Mus musculus: one gene and its partner. The main gene of each other region encodes a partner of the protein of the gene in region 2 in a complex. Links are inferred from orthologs where the notes say so. Each region holds a gene or a part of one and is shown on either strand. Other genes may lie near its edges. The genes, in order: Nebl and Xirp2.

Region 1 (9,156 bases), about 50 Mb from region 2:
GTCTTGCTTAACATTTCTACATACTGTCTGGGAAGGGCCTGGATACAGCAGGGTCTCCAGGGCTTCCAAGGCTTCTGATGACCCCGACTCTCTGAGTTAAATGGCACACTCAAAGAGATAATCTTTCAGTACTCTCAAGGGGTGAGGGAAGAATGCAGGGAAGCTGTTTTTCGATCCATTCCTCGACATTTCATAATCATTCGCTCTGCTATAAAAGACAACAGGCACAAGCTATCAGCAACAGGTCAAAAATTAGGACTGAAAAAAGCCCTGTTGTCCTTAAGCCCGTGAAACTCCACACCGCATTATAAGGCACACTGGGAAAGAAACCAAGTATCACCTCCGTCAGTTCCAAGCCACTCCAAAATGCACAGTTCTGATTCTGATGCTGCTATAGAAACTTACAGAGCTGGGAGAAATCCAAAGAAGAGTAATTGAACCGATGGAAGGCATATAAGGCACCTGGTACAAAGGAACCCATAACCCCCCACGCCAGTGTTGGCAAGGTACCAATACAAGGTGACAGGACTGATAGCCAGGCTCTGTTTGAACCTTGTCCCCAGGTGCTCTTAGAAAGCCATGGAACTCCCAGTTTGTACCTGTGAGTTAGGACATGTGGATCCTACACAGAGGCTTCCTGGACTATACAATATAAAGGCATGTGTGTAGTGATTAGCATACATGTAGCAAGGAGGAAGGCTAGCAAGATGCCCAAGGCTTGAGGGTCCTACTGACCTTGTTTCAATCCTGGGGAGCTTGCTGAATGAATGAATGGCTTGGTCTCCAACACATGAGGGTTTCCACAAGCTTTAGGGTTCAGGGCTCTGCTAAATCAGCAACCCTCCCGCCTACAATTTCATTCAGTAACAAATCTAAACTCAGTAATATGAAACAAAATTACCCTCAAAAAACAAATAAACAAGCAAACAAAAAGACAGACTAACAAAAAACAGCTAGCCCCTCTAGGACAGGATGGTTGATAAAGCCACCAAAGCATTTGAGGTGTTCCCTTTTGATTTTGGCATGATGGCTGAAAAAGACTGGTGTCCTAGGTTAAATGCGGGGCACCAATCTAGTCCTTCCCAATTAGAAACACCATATAATACAGGCTCAGCCAGAACTCAGGTCTATTTAAGGTGACAGAACATCAATTTTATACCTATTATTTTAACTCTATGACTGATGTATTTTAGACAACAAGCTGGCTATGCTACTATACTGCAGAGATGAAATTTTTAAGTATAAGTTGATTTGAAGAAAAAGAAATTTCAAATATAAGGCCATTTGCTCCCCATAAAATTACTGATGTCACTAAAGAAGAACAATAAACTTTCAGTTATAGTTCACTGAAACATTTAGGAACATAAACATTTAATTTATTCAATATTTGGTTGTTAGCTTATTTGGTTTGCAGTTGAGAACCTTGTACATGCTAGACACACATTCCGCTCCTCAACTGTAATGTCAGCCCTAATATTTGGTATTAAGATGATGGTGTAAACCCTTCATATAATTTTTATTTTAGAAATTAGTGTATTTTTTCAGAATCTTTATTGATCCATGTAAAAATTCTAACAGCTAAACGAGTGTCTTATCAGTACGGAAGCCTACGATGAAGTGAAATATGAGCACATATCCAGTCATGAATTAAGGGACAATAATCATATTCTAAATACTTAAGTAGTCCAGACATTCCACCATGAAACATAAATCTACAATAAACAGAGATCTCTCCCATGTGCTTGATCTCACCTAAAGAAGAGAGAATGTGTGGTGCTGGCAGTCACCGAGTATAAAAAGCCATTGTGCCTCCCTACAAGAAGGTTCCTAAGTCACCAATAATAATCCTCCCCCAAACACTCCAATATATCACCTGCCGAATTAGAGCTGCAGCCCAGCAATAACTACACTTCAGTGAAAACATACCAGAGTGGGAAGAGGCAGCACCTTCAAGCTGCCTCTAAATGGTGACATGGCTGTCACTAAGTAGATGTGTGAGGGAGTAACAAGCTTTGCATGGGTATTCACTCTGAGAAGCAACAGTGGAGTAAAGTGAAATGGCGGACGTGGGGCGGGGGGAGGAGGGCGATGAATAAGAGTCCCACCCTGACAATCAACAACACCTGGCATGTGGTGCTCAATACATCTTAACTGCCACTGGTGTCAAGATCATAATTATCACAGCCAATGTCTTATTATTGCAGTTTACAAAACATATTTCACATGCTAAGCAACTTCTGGTTATAACTAAGCAATAACACAAATAAATAAATAATTCAAAGTTGAATTATGTAACATGTTATGCCAAGAATTTGGGAAGAAGTATGCCCATTTTTATCTACTACAAAGTTGGTCAAAAGATAAAAAAGTTACCGATAGAGTAACTTAGGGTAGCTATCCCTTATCAGTCACCACAGTGTTTTGAAGAGTAACTGCAGCATTTTTTATGTACATCTCATCTTAACTATAATCATTATACTTGAAGAGCTAAATCCACCAGCATCAATAATATTTCCAAGGTTATTGTCGAGTTGACTCTAGCAAGTTGGCCTTGGAGAACTGACCAAAGTATTACGCTACTGCCTAGGAAACAAACTTGCAAATTACAAAGAACAGTTGCAGCCAGTTTTGTGCTCAGCTCCCTGAATTCAGATACAAACACACTTCATTTCATAGAGCTCCATGTTTTTTAAGCCAGTAGTTCTCTTACATTGTTTATGAGTATTTGGTGGGTTCTCATACCAAGTAAGAAATAGTCTTGCTTATAAATTTAGAATTCTAGTTTATAAATTTATCATGTATGTGGATGTGTTTACATTAAATAACTCTAGGATTTCATTTGGAATAGCATATAAACTAGCTTTAGTTCCTAAAAACAAAATTTTTTTAATGATATTATCATGTGAACCAGTGTTTGCAGTGTACAATTCCATTAACACATACACACACACATACACACACACACACATACACACACATACACACACTATATTGCAAAGAAATGTTAGATGCAATTAAAAGCAAATGGAAAAGTATTGACTTTGACAGAAACTTCAAATGGCCTTCAGAATGTTAAGTACTATTCATTTAGATAAAGGCCTTCCATATTGAAAGTCATTCACTTAGAGATCCTTCCAAGACAAATGATATCGTTCTGCTAATTTTAAAGTCTTGGGGGTTCTCAAACATGAGCTTGATAACACAACACCATAAAACATAGTATGACTACACAACCCGGAAGAGACAGAATCTGGATTAGGAATGAGGACAATTATTCCATTAGACAATCACTGTCTATATGACCTTGGTGAAATCACCTAACATGTCTGGACTTAGTTCTATGATCTAGAAAATGACAGTGCTCTAACTGGTAACCTCGGGAGTTTTCTCTCCAGCCCCATGACTCTACAACACAGCCATTCCACGTAAAGGAAGCAAATAAGATAAAAGTCTTTAAAGCCACTTACGTCACTAATGAGCTCGGTGCACTTTCTGGCCAGTTCCATGCTGAGGTCTTCAATAACAGGTTTCAGAGACACCTATGTGAAAATTAAAAAGAAAGAGGGAGGGAGAAGGTCTGATTTTCCCTTATCTGTTAAAGGACAGAGTTCTGTGCTTAAGTGAGTTCTTTCTTGCTCACCTTGGCTTCCTGGTTTTCTTCCTGCTCCACATTTTCCTCCTCAGTTTCCTCTTTTACATCCCCGGATACAGGTACCTTCATCTTTACCCTATGAAGATATTAATGCTTTCAAACTGTGTCTTCTCAGGAACTACCACACCCGTGAGCTACCAAGTCTCTGGGGCACTGGAAGCAAAGGCTTGCCAGACTTTATCCCTGGCTCATGTCACTCCTTATCTCAATGGTGTGTCAGTGAACACCCAGGAGCCTCAGGGTCTGCCAGGCCCAGCCTCACAAGTGAAAACTCTCTCCTAAGTCAAAGCTCAACTTTACAAACTTAAAATCAACATTCTTAGGATAGCATAGGAAACCCAAGACAAAATGGTTTTTTTTTATCTTCTACTAATGAATTTTAAATCAATTAATCAATTAATTTTAAAAATTGTTTTAAAGGGACTTGACAATTCTAGAAATCTACTCAGCTATAACACCTAAGATAGCACCGGCCTAAAGCCTTTATCCCAAAGATATCTCAACTTGGTCTAAATAAAGCCTCCTCTGGAATGTCAGTCATTCTGTTTCCATATAGAGACTCCGTACCATACAAATTTATTTCATTAACTTAAATTAAATGTTTTATGAGGTTTTAGTGTACTTCTCACATCCCCCAAAACTACTCACTTCATATTAGCTGATTAGAGGCTAATAATTTATTACAAAAAGCCCTTTGAACCACTTCAAAGAATCTATTCTGAGTTAATTACAACTGCTAATCTCAAATTAGGGAATACTGTACCATATTAATCGTAAACATCATTAAACATGAGAAGTTGAAGTTAATATATGTTGATATATTATTTAAGACTTCAGGAAACATCGCTGCATTGGAAATAATTATGCTCTGCATTTTTGTCATTGTGTGAATTTTCACTAACTCACTAGTATCTTTTATAGTCTCACTGTATCCCACACTTGGAAAACTAAGAAATTACATTACCATATTTGTTGTGTAGACTATCTTACTAGTTCAATAATTAAGAAAACTCTTCTAAATAAATCCTTTATTGTCGATTTAAGCAATTCTAAGAATCTCTCATTCCTGATGTGTTAATTTGGCTGTTTAAATTTTAAGGTAAAATTGCTTTTTATAAAAGTATTGCATATCAGTGATCAGTGTTAGAAAAACACCCCATGGTGACTAATTAAATTAATTACATAAAATAGAGCTTTATCCAAAATAATACTTCATTCCTACATAGCCAAATATATTTTGATATCATCTTGTTTTCAATTTATTTTTAATAACTTGTAAAATATTTTTAATTTAAAAAAACACCCTGAAGTTAAGAAGATCTAATGTCTATATATCCCATTGAACATCTATGAAGGTAGAATAGTGATTCTGAAGTTGTGGAGCTAGTTTCATGTTACATTTTATATAGTCTTAACTATTGAATATCTATCTCTGTACACGTCCTTATCAGTTTTTAAAAGAAAAATGCCCCAGCCTTATCTAATAAGTCATTCGAATTCTGAACATCCATCAAAAACCATACTGTTTCTCACATGCTTTTCCAAAAGGCAAAACTGTACCACAAAAAAAGGTTGATAAGGCAAAAAACAATGACCTAAAACAAATCTCTTCAAGAAACCTATAAAGAAATTTCTATAGTTGTCAGGATGAGTGTTACACACCACAGTGACACATGCAGAGACCTGTGATGACCGTCAATCAAAAGCCCTACCCAACTTACTAAATCTTTCCCTTCTAAAAGAAGAATCCTGTCTGCCTCCTGTTTCCACATCTATTCTGCCTACTATTGTCTCTTAATGGCATCCAGTGCCCTCTGTGAAATGTGACTTAGGAAAACATTGTTACGTCTGACTAACTTCTTCATGATTTGCTGGCTTTCTCATTAAACAGTTTTGAATAGAGGTCAAATTAAGGGTATCACAGACCCCACTTAACCAGCAAAATGCCAGAAAGGAACTGTCCCCGGAATGCTAAATTGGGAAACTTTGAGATAACAGCCATGTCGTCCCTCACGTCTACTGGAATTCTTTTCGTTTGTTATAAACTTGTCCTGTAAGGAGAATTTGCAATCTATAAGTTTCCCTCATGTCCTCTCCCTAAGGCTGTCTTTTGCTTCTGTAGAGGCTCCTCTGTGCTACCTTCAGGAAGGAAATGCTTTCTACGGAGGAATAATTTCTAAAAACTTTTCTTGCAAACCTTCAGAAGTACATAGGAAAAAATATCCCAACGCTGTCCAAGATGAACCTCTTAGCTTCCACTTCAGATGACAATGCTCATGTTGCTTTGGGTGATGTCTGTTTCCATAGTGAATGGCGTGCCTGAGGCTTAAGCAGGATTTCTTCTCATCTTCAATCTTGCTGTGAGTTCTTAATGGTTCTTCGCTGGGCTGCAATAAAATAATCAGTTAACCTTTAATGCACAAAAGTTTCAAAGACACACCAAACACCACACATAATATGAACATATTTTTTCTTTTAAGAGGTCAGAATCAGAATTTTAAAGTCACATTACTAAAATCTTTAAAGCTTGCATTTCCAGCCAATTTAGGAGATGGGAGCAAAGCAATCACAACTTCAAGCCCAGCCCAAGCTACAGAGAGAGCTTCATCCCAACCTGGACAACTTAGCAAGACCATGTCTTAAATAAACATAAAAAGATGGCTAGGAACACAGCTGGCTTATTACCAAGTTTGCTTGCTTCTATGCAAGGCCTTCTGTTGGGCCCCAGTGCTGACAACCATCACAAACCCTCACTTAGAATGCTTTCCTTCAGAGAGGACAAACAGAAGGCTAAGAACAGTGAACTATTTGCTTCCTTTGCAAAACAGTGTGATAGGAACTGCTTAGTACACACTGATGCCTGCTTAGTACACACTGATGTTGTTATGCTGGTTCTACACCAGGATAAGGAGATCCAGTAGTAAGTAGCACATACCCTGGCAGGAAAAAAATCACCTCAAAACTTGCTGAGTGAACTCTTTAATGGACTTTCTGGCAAGCCACATACACCATTACTTTTGATTTAGTGTGTCTTCTTTTCATTTGCATAAGAAGATAGTATAAAAGTCATGTCAAATTTCCTCTATATTTTTTAAGCCCTGATTTTATCAGTCAAGCTTTTCTGTCAATAGGTATAAACTCTGACTTGGGGAATTTGTTAGAAAAGGGTCCTTAGTGGGCAGTTATTACGTTTCAAAAATACCTATCCTTTTTCGTAAATCCTAGTGTAAGTTTAATGTTGTATTATCATAAATTACAATTGAGTTCTGAGCTGAGATGGGAGATACCAGAAAATATGATGCCTCAGACCATGGGATGCTTTAGATTACAGACACTGGGGAATCAGCAGAATCTGGAAAGAGCTCTTCTTTGAAAATTCTTTATTTACACAAAGGCTGCTTCTACCAAAAGCGAACATAGTGGGCTTCTACCATGTTATTTCATCAACCAAGAAGAGGAAACCAAACACCCAAAGCCGAAACAAACTTTGTCTCAGTCTGTTGTCTTTCTGAGTCTATATCTCACCACCCCCTCCCCCAGTAAATCATTTATTCTTCCCTAAAATTGCCTCCATCTTGACTCAATACTTTCTCCCATATGAAGATATAATATGAAGGGGTATATAAGCCTTTAAACCCCATTTTCTTATTGGGCCCTCACAGTCATACAAAAGAAGTCAATGGCTTTAACTATCTGAATATACCCTTTAACCAGAGCCAGAGAGCCAGGCAGGATCAAACATCTTGATTACTACACAAAAAGGAAGATGTATATGTATGTGTATGTGTATGTATAATGTGTGTGTGTACAAACACGTATGTATGTATGTATGTATGTATGTATGCATGCATGTATCCCTTTCCTAAAGTTTTATGTGGAATGTACTAAGAATGGTTGTGACCAATCCCTGACACTATTAATGATACTCTGTTATGCTTTCAGACAGAAAAATGCTGTCCTCTGAGAGGCTCCACACAGGAGCTAACTCAGATACAGACACCAATAGCCAAACAGTGAATGGAGCTTGTGGACTTTTATAGAAGAATAGGAGGAAGGATTGTGGGCCCCAAAGGGGATGAGAACTCCACAGGAAGACCAACAGAATCAACCAACCTGGACCCTTGGGGCTCTCAGGGTCTAGACTGAACTACCAACCAAAGAGCATACACAGGCTGGACCTAGGCCTCTTCGCACATATATCACATATAAGCAGTTTGGTCTTCATGTGGGTCCTCAACAAGTAGAGAAGGGACTATTCCAAAAGCTGTTTCATGTATGTGGGATATGTTCTAGCTGGGCTACCTTGTTTGTCCTCAGTGGGAGAGGAAGCACCTAGCCTTGCAGAGATTTGATGTGCTGGGGTAGGGGGATACCCAAGGGTTGCCCCTGCTCAGAGGAGAATGGGAGAGGAAGGGGGAAGGAGGAAAGGCTGTGGGAGAGGGTGACCTGGAGGGGAGCAGTGAAGGAATGGATAGTGTATATATAAAAAATAAAATAAAATAAATTTAAAAATAGAATAGTTGTGAAAGACTTTGACACTGACATAAAAAATTTGAGTATCTTATCAAATGCTTCTTTGTAACTATATTGTCCTTTGACTGTCTTTAAGCTATGCTGTAATTCTTCATGCTGAAAAAATGATAATAATCTAATCTTTAGGAGTGTAAATTATATCTTAGAGGACACAATTGATTATTGGCTCTGCATCCAGTTTTAAATTCATTTCAGCATTCCTTCCTATTTATGTATCTATGAAGGCCATTCACTTTGAACCAACTGCAACATCTTACCAGTCCCCTCATTTACTGAAATATTTGAGAAGCACTTATTTTGTATTTTATAAGAATCACATATTTTTAAAAATATATCACTTAACAGTTATGAATCTTTTCATTTCTTTAACATTTAGCAGAACAATAAAGAACAGGGGACTCAGTGGAGAGCGGGCTCTCAGTTATGAAGCATCCCTACGACAATGCTTAGCATGAGTTGTCATAACCAGCCTCTCATTTTGGGTTGTTTTCAAGTCTAACTTTGTTTTATTATTGACAAGTGCTATATGCATGCGTGTATGTACATTCACACATACCGCAAACACTATATACACACTCAGGCAGAGTTAATTCACTCCAGCTGCCAGTTCCTGTCTGAAAAGCAAAAATGGCTCCAATAAATGCAAAGATTTAATTATTTCTCACATCTGGAAAAACTTGAACATGAAAATGGATTTATTGAAGAAGCTCTTGGTTGGCTGTCAACACCCCATTCAGAGCCAGAGAGAGAGAGAGAGAACAGGCTTAATCACTGTTGGCAATTCTTTAACGCACTCAGAAATAGATGGCATGCCAGTTAGTTTGTAACACGGTTTGTTTACAGGACTTCTGAGTTTTATGGAAGCACAGTAAAATAAATAATTCCATAGTCACTCATGTAAAAGAAACTGTTCCTCATGTTGGGTCTGGAGGACGTTGTACATCAATCCTCGAAAACAGGATGAAGTCCTC
Region 2 (9,072 bases):
CAAGGATAAAAGAACCTCTGGTGGAATCACCATGCCTGACCTAAAGCTTTACTACAGAGCAATTGTGATAAAAACTGCATGGTACTGGTATAGAGACAGACAAGTGGACCAATGGAATAGAATTGAAGACCCAGAAATGAACCCACACACCTATGGTCACTTGATCTTCGACAAGGGAGCCAAAACCATCCAGTGGAAGAAAGACAGCATTTTCAACAATTGGTGCTGGCACAACTGGTTGTTATCATGTAGAAGAATGCGAATCGATCCATACTTATCTCCTTGTACTAAGGTCAAATCTAAGTGGATCAAGGAACTTCACATAAAACCAGAGACACTGAAACTTATAGAGGAGAAAGTGGGGAAAAGCCTTGAAGATATGGGCACAGGGGAAAAATTCCTGAACAGAACAGCAATGGCTTGTGCTGTAAGATCGAGAATTGACAAATGGGACCTAATGAAACTCCAAAGTTTCTGCAAGGCAAAAGACACTGTCTATAAGACAAAAAGACCACCAACAGACTGGGAAAGGATCTTTACCTATCCTAAATCAGATAGGGGACTAATATCCAACATATATAAAGAACTCAAGAAGGTGGACCTCAGAAAATCAAATAACCCCCTTAAAAAATGGGGCTCAGAACTGAACAAAGAATTCTCACCTGAGGAATACCGAATGGCAGAGAAGCACCTGAAAAAATGTTCAACATCCTTAATCATCAGGGAAATGCAAATCAAAACAACCCTGAGATTCCACCTCACACCAGTGAGAATGGCTAAGATCAAAAATTCAGGTGACAGCAGATGCTGGCGAGGATGTGGAGAAAGAGGAACACTCCTCCATTGTTGGTGGGATTGCAGGCTTGTACAACCACTCTGGAAATCAGTCTGGCGGTTCCTCAGAAAATTGGACATAGTACTACCGGAGGATCCAGCAATACCTCTCCTGGGCATATATCCAGAAGAAGCCCCAACTGGTAAGAAGGACACATGCTCCACTATGTTCATAGCAGCCTTATTTATAATAGCCAGAAACTGGAAAGAACCCAGATGCCCCTCAACAGAGGAATGGATACAGAAAATGTGGTACATCTACACAATGGAGTACTACTCAGCTATTAAAAAGAATGAATTTATGAAATTCCTAGCCAAATGGATGGACCTGGAGAGCATCATCCTGAGTGAGGTAACACAATCACAAAGGAACTCACACAATATGTACTCACTGATAAGTGGATACTAGCCCAAAACCTAGGATACCCACAATATAAGATACAATTTCCTAAACACATGAAACTCAAGAAAAATGAAGACTGAAGTGTGGACACTATGCCCCTCCTTAGAAGTGGGAACAAAACACCCATGGAAGGAGTTACAGAAACAAAGTTTGGAGCTGAGATGAAAGGATGGACCATGTAGAGACTGCCATATCCAGGGATCCACCCCATAATCAGCATCCAAACGCTGACACCATTGCATATACTAGCAAGATTTTATCGAAAGGACCCAGATGTAGCTGTCTCTTGTGAGACTATGCCGGGGCCTAGCAAACACAGAAGTGGATGCTCACAGTCAGCTAATGGATGGATCACAGGGCTCCCAATGGAGGAGCTAGAGAAAGTATCCAAGGAGCTAAAGGGATCTGCAACCCTATAGGTGGAACAACATTATGAACTAACCAGTACCCCTGAGCTCTTGACTCTAGCTGCATATGTATCAAAAGATGGCCTAGTCGGCCATCACTGGAAAGAGAGGCCCATTGGACACGCAGACTTTGTGTGCCCCGGTACAGGGGAACGCCAGGGCCAAAGGGGGGGAGTGGGTGGGTAGGGGAGTGGGGGTGGGTGGGTAAGGGGGACTTTTGGTATAGCATTGGAAATGTAAATGAGCTAAATACCTAATAAAAAATGGAAAAAAAAAAAAAAAAAAAAGAAACACAGTATGAAAAGAAACAAAAGTGAGTCTGTCTATCTATCTATCTATCTATCCATCTCTCTCTATCTCTATCTGTTATCTATCAATGAAATATATTCCATATCCCCATATATATTTAATATATGATTTATTGAAAGCATAACATATTTAATGTTTATGTTAAATTTCAATAATCATGCTAATATATAGTTTTATATTTTAATATAATAATAATAATAATAATAATAATAATAATAATAATAGCCTGATTCCAAATCCCAAGTGGTTACCTTTTAGAAGCCCATTCTAGCTATTTAGTACTCCAGCCTTTCAGAATAAATAGATACTTCTTTTTGTGGCCTGTCCTATCTCAAAACTTCCTCCAATAACTAATACCAGTGTAGGCTGAGTAGAAATACACATAAATTCCCTTTTTCCATATTTTGCTTGAAAGTCTTTAGCTTCCACAGACTTTCTACCTACCCTTGAAGCTGGTGGATATAGAATTTGTCCCTGAGCATGGGCCTTCTCAGACTAACACTATTCCCATTTCAATAAACCTGTTTGCTCCAGAGATCCCTTACTTTCAGGAGTGGCCTGGGTAAGGAACTATGACCCCACCTTTCCCCCAGTGCTTTGCCATGGACATCTCTATATTAGAGTAATTGTATCCTTCACAACATAACTATGATGGTAAGCAGAGTGTTTTGAGGCATTTTCATTAATTATCAGACGGGAGGAAGGTCTAGTTTTGTTAGGAGAAAGGGCCAGAAGGCTGGGCTCTCAATTCCAGCTGCTATCCTAGGCAGATTACTCTGATCCAGTCTGTATATTCTGGCGAACTTGCTAAAGTGAAGCAGTAGTGCCAGAATTGGATCGAGTCTGTGGGCTGCTCAGTGGAGTTAGGGAAATAGAAGAACTGTCTGTAATTGGAAAGGTTGCAATGTATGTTCTGTAAGTAGTATCAGGAAATGGAAATGGAAACACCCAATGCAACCATATATGGACATGTATTCACGTGGAATAGATCAGTGTTCTAGACAAGGCTGCCTTGGATCTGAAAAGGGTGAAGCTTGTCAACACTCAGCACAGGATGAGTGCATCAGTTGAATGAACCAATTTCTTTTAAGGAAATGAGAAAAAAAAAAGCAAATTACAACTTAATTAAGTTTCAAAGGGTAACTTGGATATTTTCAAAAGTCTGGATGAGATGCAAATAAAAAAAGGACATGGTAATTATATTAAACCCTATCTCACACAGATTGTTAATCAAAAAGTCTTAGAACTATATTGCCATTTTCTTATTGTCAACCCTGCCTTGTAAATTATAGACTCCCTGCTATCAAACAGACCTTATCAGTGGACTCCTTTAATACATAAACTGATGAGTCTGTGTGTGTGTGTGTGTGTGTGTGTGTGTGTGTGTGTGAGAGAGAGAGAGAGAGAGAGAGAGAGAGAGAGAGAGAGAGAGAGAGAGAGAGAGGGAGAGAGAGAGAGAGAGAGAGCACCCAAGTGGGAGGGAGGAGAACAACAAACTCAAACTTGAAATTCTTCCATTGAGCTTAACAGTTTTCAACTAGGTAAAAAACAAAGTTGCTACATCGAAGTTTTTAATTTTTTTCAAATTTGGCAAATCCAAAGTAAGAGTTGGAAATCTGGAATGGAATAAACAGCAGGGACAGAACTTTTGTAAATAGCAGCGAATTATCTCTGAAGTTGGACTTTCTCTGAAAAAGCAGACCTGCATGAAGGCAGCTTTCCTGTTCTCTGTAATCACAGGAGACAGCAGGCACCTGTGCTGACATTTTTTCGGGGACCTTTTCTGAAGCTATGGCTCCCGTGATCATTAGAGAATGTCGACTTTCGTTTTTCAGAAACTTGAGGAAGCTACACCTAAAAGACGCCCGCCCACTCCTGGATGAAAGAAACCCCGTTCCAACTAAAAGCCAGACTGTGTCTTCCCTCCAGGCAGCGGGCAGTTTGCCACATTGCAGCCATGCGAAGCTCTGAGTGATATTTAAAAACGGATCTAGTTCTTAGCTGATGCGTGGATACCAAGAAGGGAAAATACTCAAATATCAAGCGAAGAAGCAGAGAGATATTTAAACATACAATGCAGAATTTCTGATTTCTGCCCCAACATTTTCCATTCCCTTTTATATTGTCTAAAACTATCAACAGGTATCCTTTCATTAAAAAATAATCCATAACTCTGAATACAGTTGAAGTAAATATTTAACTTGTCTTTTGACACCTTAACACAAAATTTTAAAATGTGTCAAACAACCAACAGCTCCGTCAGTGACCAAATTGAGCTCTGGTAAAAATAAAATATCTTTCAGTTCAACACCAGCTGGCTAAATTTAAACCCAGCATTATGCAACCTTAGAGAGTCCTTGCTTTCCCACCATGTCTTAGGAGAATCTCTTAGACTGTCACTCCCAAATCACTTCAGTCTCTTAGCATCCAAACACAGCACAACAGGACCAAATTAACATGTTCATGGGCAATTGAAGACAGAAAAAAAAAATACATTTGAAAGTGTATATAGGGCATGATACCCTCAAAGCACTATCTCAGTATACTCTGAGTTTGCAGTTACCGTAATTAGGGCTGGCAGATCCAACTGGAAGTGCTTTCCTTAATTCTGAAAAACATGGAAGAACCTGATTCTTTAATCCTTAACTTCAGTAAGACTCCCAGAGGACATAAGCCCGCAGCTAGAGCAAGATCTACAAAAATCAAACTATGACTGAGAAGCAATAACTTTCCTGCATTTCTCAGAGTGTGCTGAAACATTTGAAAACGTTTCAGGCTCCCCTTTTTCCTCATCAAGCTTCATGAAATATCATTCGCATTTCTTAATCTGTATATTTTTCTCTCTGCGCACATGAGAGACAAAGCATTTTTCAGTTTCCCTTCTGGCTGTAAATTGTAGGATAACTTTTAAGTTGTGACTGGTTATTAAGCTCATTATTCTTTAAGATTAAACATTAAAATAATTTATTGGAGAGAGATTAACACATGAGGTTCTAAATTTCATATCCAACAGTGCTAAGCACAATTCTAAGAACAAATCCAACTTGATCAATTTTCTTTTATATAATGACATTTGACTTTCAGTCTTCACTGCTCTTTCAGTAAGAGTCGAACATTTTATAACCTTGGCACACACGGGACTCTATTACACATACCTTTGTACCAGAATTGACCCTAGCTCCGTAGAAATGCTCTATGGATTTGCAACTCTTCACTTGAAAGGCTCCTCCCTGTTTGACACACAGCAAATTTCCCAGTCCCCTGAAAGCAACCAGCAGAGTGGAGACCAGCTCCACCGAAGAGTCTATGAGGCAAGCAGGCAGGGCTGCTGAATTTATTTTAGCCCTGTGTCCAAAGGATGCAACCTAGCACCTATTTTTAGGAACTGAGCTCTGTCTAGGTGGGGCTTGAGTCAACCACTCCTTTCAGAAGTGAGTCTCTGAGGTCATACTGCTTAGTACTCTCCTGAGAAATGTATGCATGGCTCTGACACATGTGCAGTCACTCAAACTCCCTTCCATAGCCACTATCACACCAAAGTCTGAACTTCTCAACATATTCTGAGAAATAAATAATGAATAAAGTGGGGTTATTAAAGGACTTCAATTGCTTGCTTTTAAAAGATACCTTTACTCACTTAAGAGTAAAGGATTTGAAAACAAAGCACACAAAAAGTTGATCTTATTTATTCTGTTTGGGATAGTGATAATTAACTTGAAATCTTCAGAAGGGAACTTTGATTCTTGTTTTCTTTTCTTTTCTATAGGAAGTAGGTGTTTCCTATGTGCAATGGGCTGGATCCTCCTATCTCAGATTCTACAGACTGAAATATTGGAGGATCACCCTGGGATCATCATAGATTTTTTTTTAATTTACAATTTTCATATTCTCGGTGTGTAAAGCAATGTTTGCTTTTCAAGTCTTCCCTCATAAAGCACTCATACTGTAGTGTTTAGTAGGAAAGGGCAAGATAGATCAGGCAGGGAAAGATTCATCTTATGTGCTCTTGAGAGAATTCTATTACATACCATTGCCACTGTACTTTCTCAGTAGACTCTGCTAGCCCAAATGGAGACGGAAGTTAGCTGATATTACCCTTCAGCTTCATAATGCCACATTCTTTAGAATGCGTTAGAATGAAGAATCCTGCTCACCAACCTTTCAACTCTTCTATAACTTCCCAGAGTTGTGCCCTGTGTGTCCTATGCAGCTGGACTCACAAAAAACCAAAACAAACAAAGGAAATTGTCTGCAACTTGAAGAAAGCATCTTACTTTTACACTGCTAATTGCAAAACATAACTGAGCTTACAATTGACCATACTATGATCAATGAATATAAGCATATATGTTTTTTTTTTTCATCTACAGGTTTTTATTAAAAGTAGTGCAACTAGTGATACTGCAGCTTCTTATCTCTACAAAAATCTTTACTCAATGGTCCTGAGTATTCCACAAGATTTTCCAGTGTAAACTATCTCAAGATTTGTTGACCAGTATGTATGGTCATTGCTAGGCATGTGGTCACCAGAAATTTAAATTATTAATATTTAATGAAATTTTAATTTTCAGTTCCACACTTGTACTAACTATATCTCAAGTACCCAGTCTGCAACTGTGACGTGTGTTTCTTCATTGAGAATGCTCTTATCACTTGGAAGATCCCCTCACCATTGCTCATGTCACGTTGGATCTCAGCACAGGTTTACACAAACAGTGCTCTGTTACCTGGACAAGTTGAACATTCATATACATTCTAATACATTCATCTTTGATTAAATTAGGGTACGTTCCAGAGTCTTTATACGGTTGTTACCAAGATTAAATGAGAAAATAAATTAATTGTGCTTATAATATTACTACTCCAACATAATATTTCTCAGAAAATCATGTTAATGCACCATGTTCATAAGAGACAGTATATCGAAAATCATAAGTTATGAGACTGATCTTAATATATAAATGCGGTCAACTTTATTATTTTTATTATTTTATTTGGATATTAATGATACTGTTTGCAATAAGGTAAATTGCTCAAATATCTGATGTTAGGATTTGTCATCTCTCTTGCTCAAATGAACTCTTTTTTATTTTAGTGACTAGTTTCTTGATTTAATTCCTCTGGTTTCATTCACAATGATCTCCTCTCTATTTTATTTTTGACTTTTCAGGGAAAATGTTTCTGATTTAAATACTTATACAACCTATGAAAAAAACAATGATTAAAATAAACATACTTAGCTTGATTTAAATCCTCTATAATGCATATATGTATTGAGCTATTGCACAATATCCACTCATATGTAGAACTTTCATTATTATATACATCGGTTAAAACAATTGAATTAAAAAAATTCAAAACGAACCAAGGAAATTAACATTCATCACCTGAGGTGGTTATAGATGTCAGAGAAGCATGTGGACGAGACTTCACACCATTTACCATCAGAAAAACGCAAGTAACAGGAGTGAATTATGACTGCATAACTGTTAAAATGACTGATATATACAGTACATGAAAATACCAAATGTCTACAAAGATTCAGCGCACTGGGACCCTTTACCCACTCCTGATCCAATGAGAGAGGACGATCCTTGGTTGTTTATAGGCCACATGTATTCTTACTTATAGCCCAGCTTAAAGTTAAAATGACACGTCTACCCAGAAGTCTGCAAGGAGATGTAGACAAAAAAGGTATTTACCAAAATTTGGAATTAATTTATCTATCCTTCACTGATCAATACAATCTTGCACAGTTAGAAATTAGAATGCTATTCAGTGCTACAGAAAGACATCGAGGAAAATCAAATAGTAAATCTACTGCAAAAATCTGCATACTATATGGATTCAATGTTAGTGCATTCTAGAAAAGGCAAAAGTATGAAAAAATAAAAGTTTTTAAGGGTTAATGGAGGGAGACTAGGCTGAAATAGAAGCTCTTTCTGAATGACACTGTACTAGGGTTGTGTGTTATTATACACTTGTCAATTCCAATGAATGTACAATTTGAATATTAATGTATAGACCTATGACATCTAAGTGTGTCAGTGTGAATTCATCAAAATCACAAGAAAGATTCAACTCTGCTTAAGGACAGTGATGATATGGCCTATGTAGGAGGAGGTGGATGGAAAACTTCATCCATTCTCTTCAGTTTTTTATGAATCTAAAATCTTTCTTAAAAGTACTGTACAAGAAATTTAATATATGTTCTTATTTCTGTTATTTTTTCCCTTAAAAATAACATCTGGACTATATAAAAGGATTATGTTATAGATTTGATTTGTGTTATTTACATTTATTTCATCTTGCTCTCAAATCAAGCAATTGACACTATTATTTCTAATAAAACTGAAGATTAGGAAAATTAAGTAACTCTTTCAAAGATAAAGTTAATAATAAGCGAAAAACAACGGGCATTGATCTTAATTCTGCTGACTCCTTAGTTACATGTTTTCAGAGACATTATTTATACTGACTATAATTTAAAAGTTCCCAAAAGCTCGGAATACCCAAGATACAATTCACAGACCACATGAAGCTCAAGAAGAAGGAAGATCAAAGTATGGATGCTTCAGTCTTTCTTAGAAGGAGGAACAAAATACTCAAGGGAGGAAATACAGAGACAAAGTGTGGAGTAGAGACTGAAGGAAAGGCCATCCAGAGCCTGCCCCACCTGGGGATCCATTCCATATACAGACACCAAACCCAGGCACTATTGTGGATGCCAAGAATTGCTTGCTGTCAGGAGCCTGTGTCCTAAGAGGCTCTGTCAGAGCTTGACAAAGACAGATGCAGATGCTCTTAGCCAACCATTGGACTGAGCATAGGGTGGCCAATGGAGCAGTTAGAGAAAGGACTGAAAGAACTGAAGGGGTTTGCAACTCCATAGGAAGAACAATATCAACCAACCAGACCTCGCCCCAGAGCTCCCAGGGACTAAACAACCAACCAGAGAGTACACATGGAGAGACCCATGGCTCCAGCCACATATGTAGCACAGGATGACCTTGTTGAGGAATGCCAGAGTTGGGAGGCAGAAGTGAGTGAGTGGGTGGGTGGAGGAACACCCTCATAAAAGCAGGGGGAGAGATGGGGTAGGAAGATTCTGGGAGGGGG

What was found.
Region 1: the proteins of Xirp2 (region 2) and Nebl are in contact, whole or in part, in a crystal structure (PDB 4F14), measured with the Homo sapiens proteins. The link is inferred for Mus musculus from reciprocal best matches to the Homo sapiens genes XIRP2 and NEBL. Residues at the interface, in NP_689594.4 of Homo sapiens: Pro2420, Pro2421, Pro2422, Thr2423, Leu2424, Pro2425, Lys2426, Pro2427; in NP_006384.1 of Homo sapiens: Tyr963, Asp964, Tyr965, Asp969, Asp971, Glu972, Ile987, Asp988, Asp989, Gly990, Trp991, Met1004, Pro1006, Asn1008, Tyr1009.

What each region holds. Positions count from the first base shown.
Region 1 is NC_000068.7:17,456,818-17,465,973, forward strand, and holds the start of Nebl (nebulette), read right to left. Parts: upstream 6,040-9,156; 5' UTR 5,850-6,039; intron 3,729-5,849; 5' UTR 3,722-3,728; coding exon 3,641-3,721; intron 3,540-3,640; coding exon 3,468-3,539; intron 1-3,467. UniProt on the Homo sapiens protein: Binds to actin and plays an important role in the assembly of the Z-disk. May functionally link sarcomeric actin to the desmin intermediate filaments in the heart muscle sarcomeres.
Region 2 is NC_000068.7:67,442,191-67,451,262, reverse strand, and holds the start of Xirp2 (xin actin-binding repeat-containing protein 2), read right to left. Parts: upstream 5,262-9,072; 5' UTR 5,109-5,261; intron 1-5,108.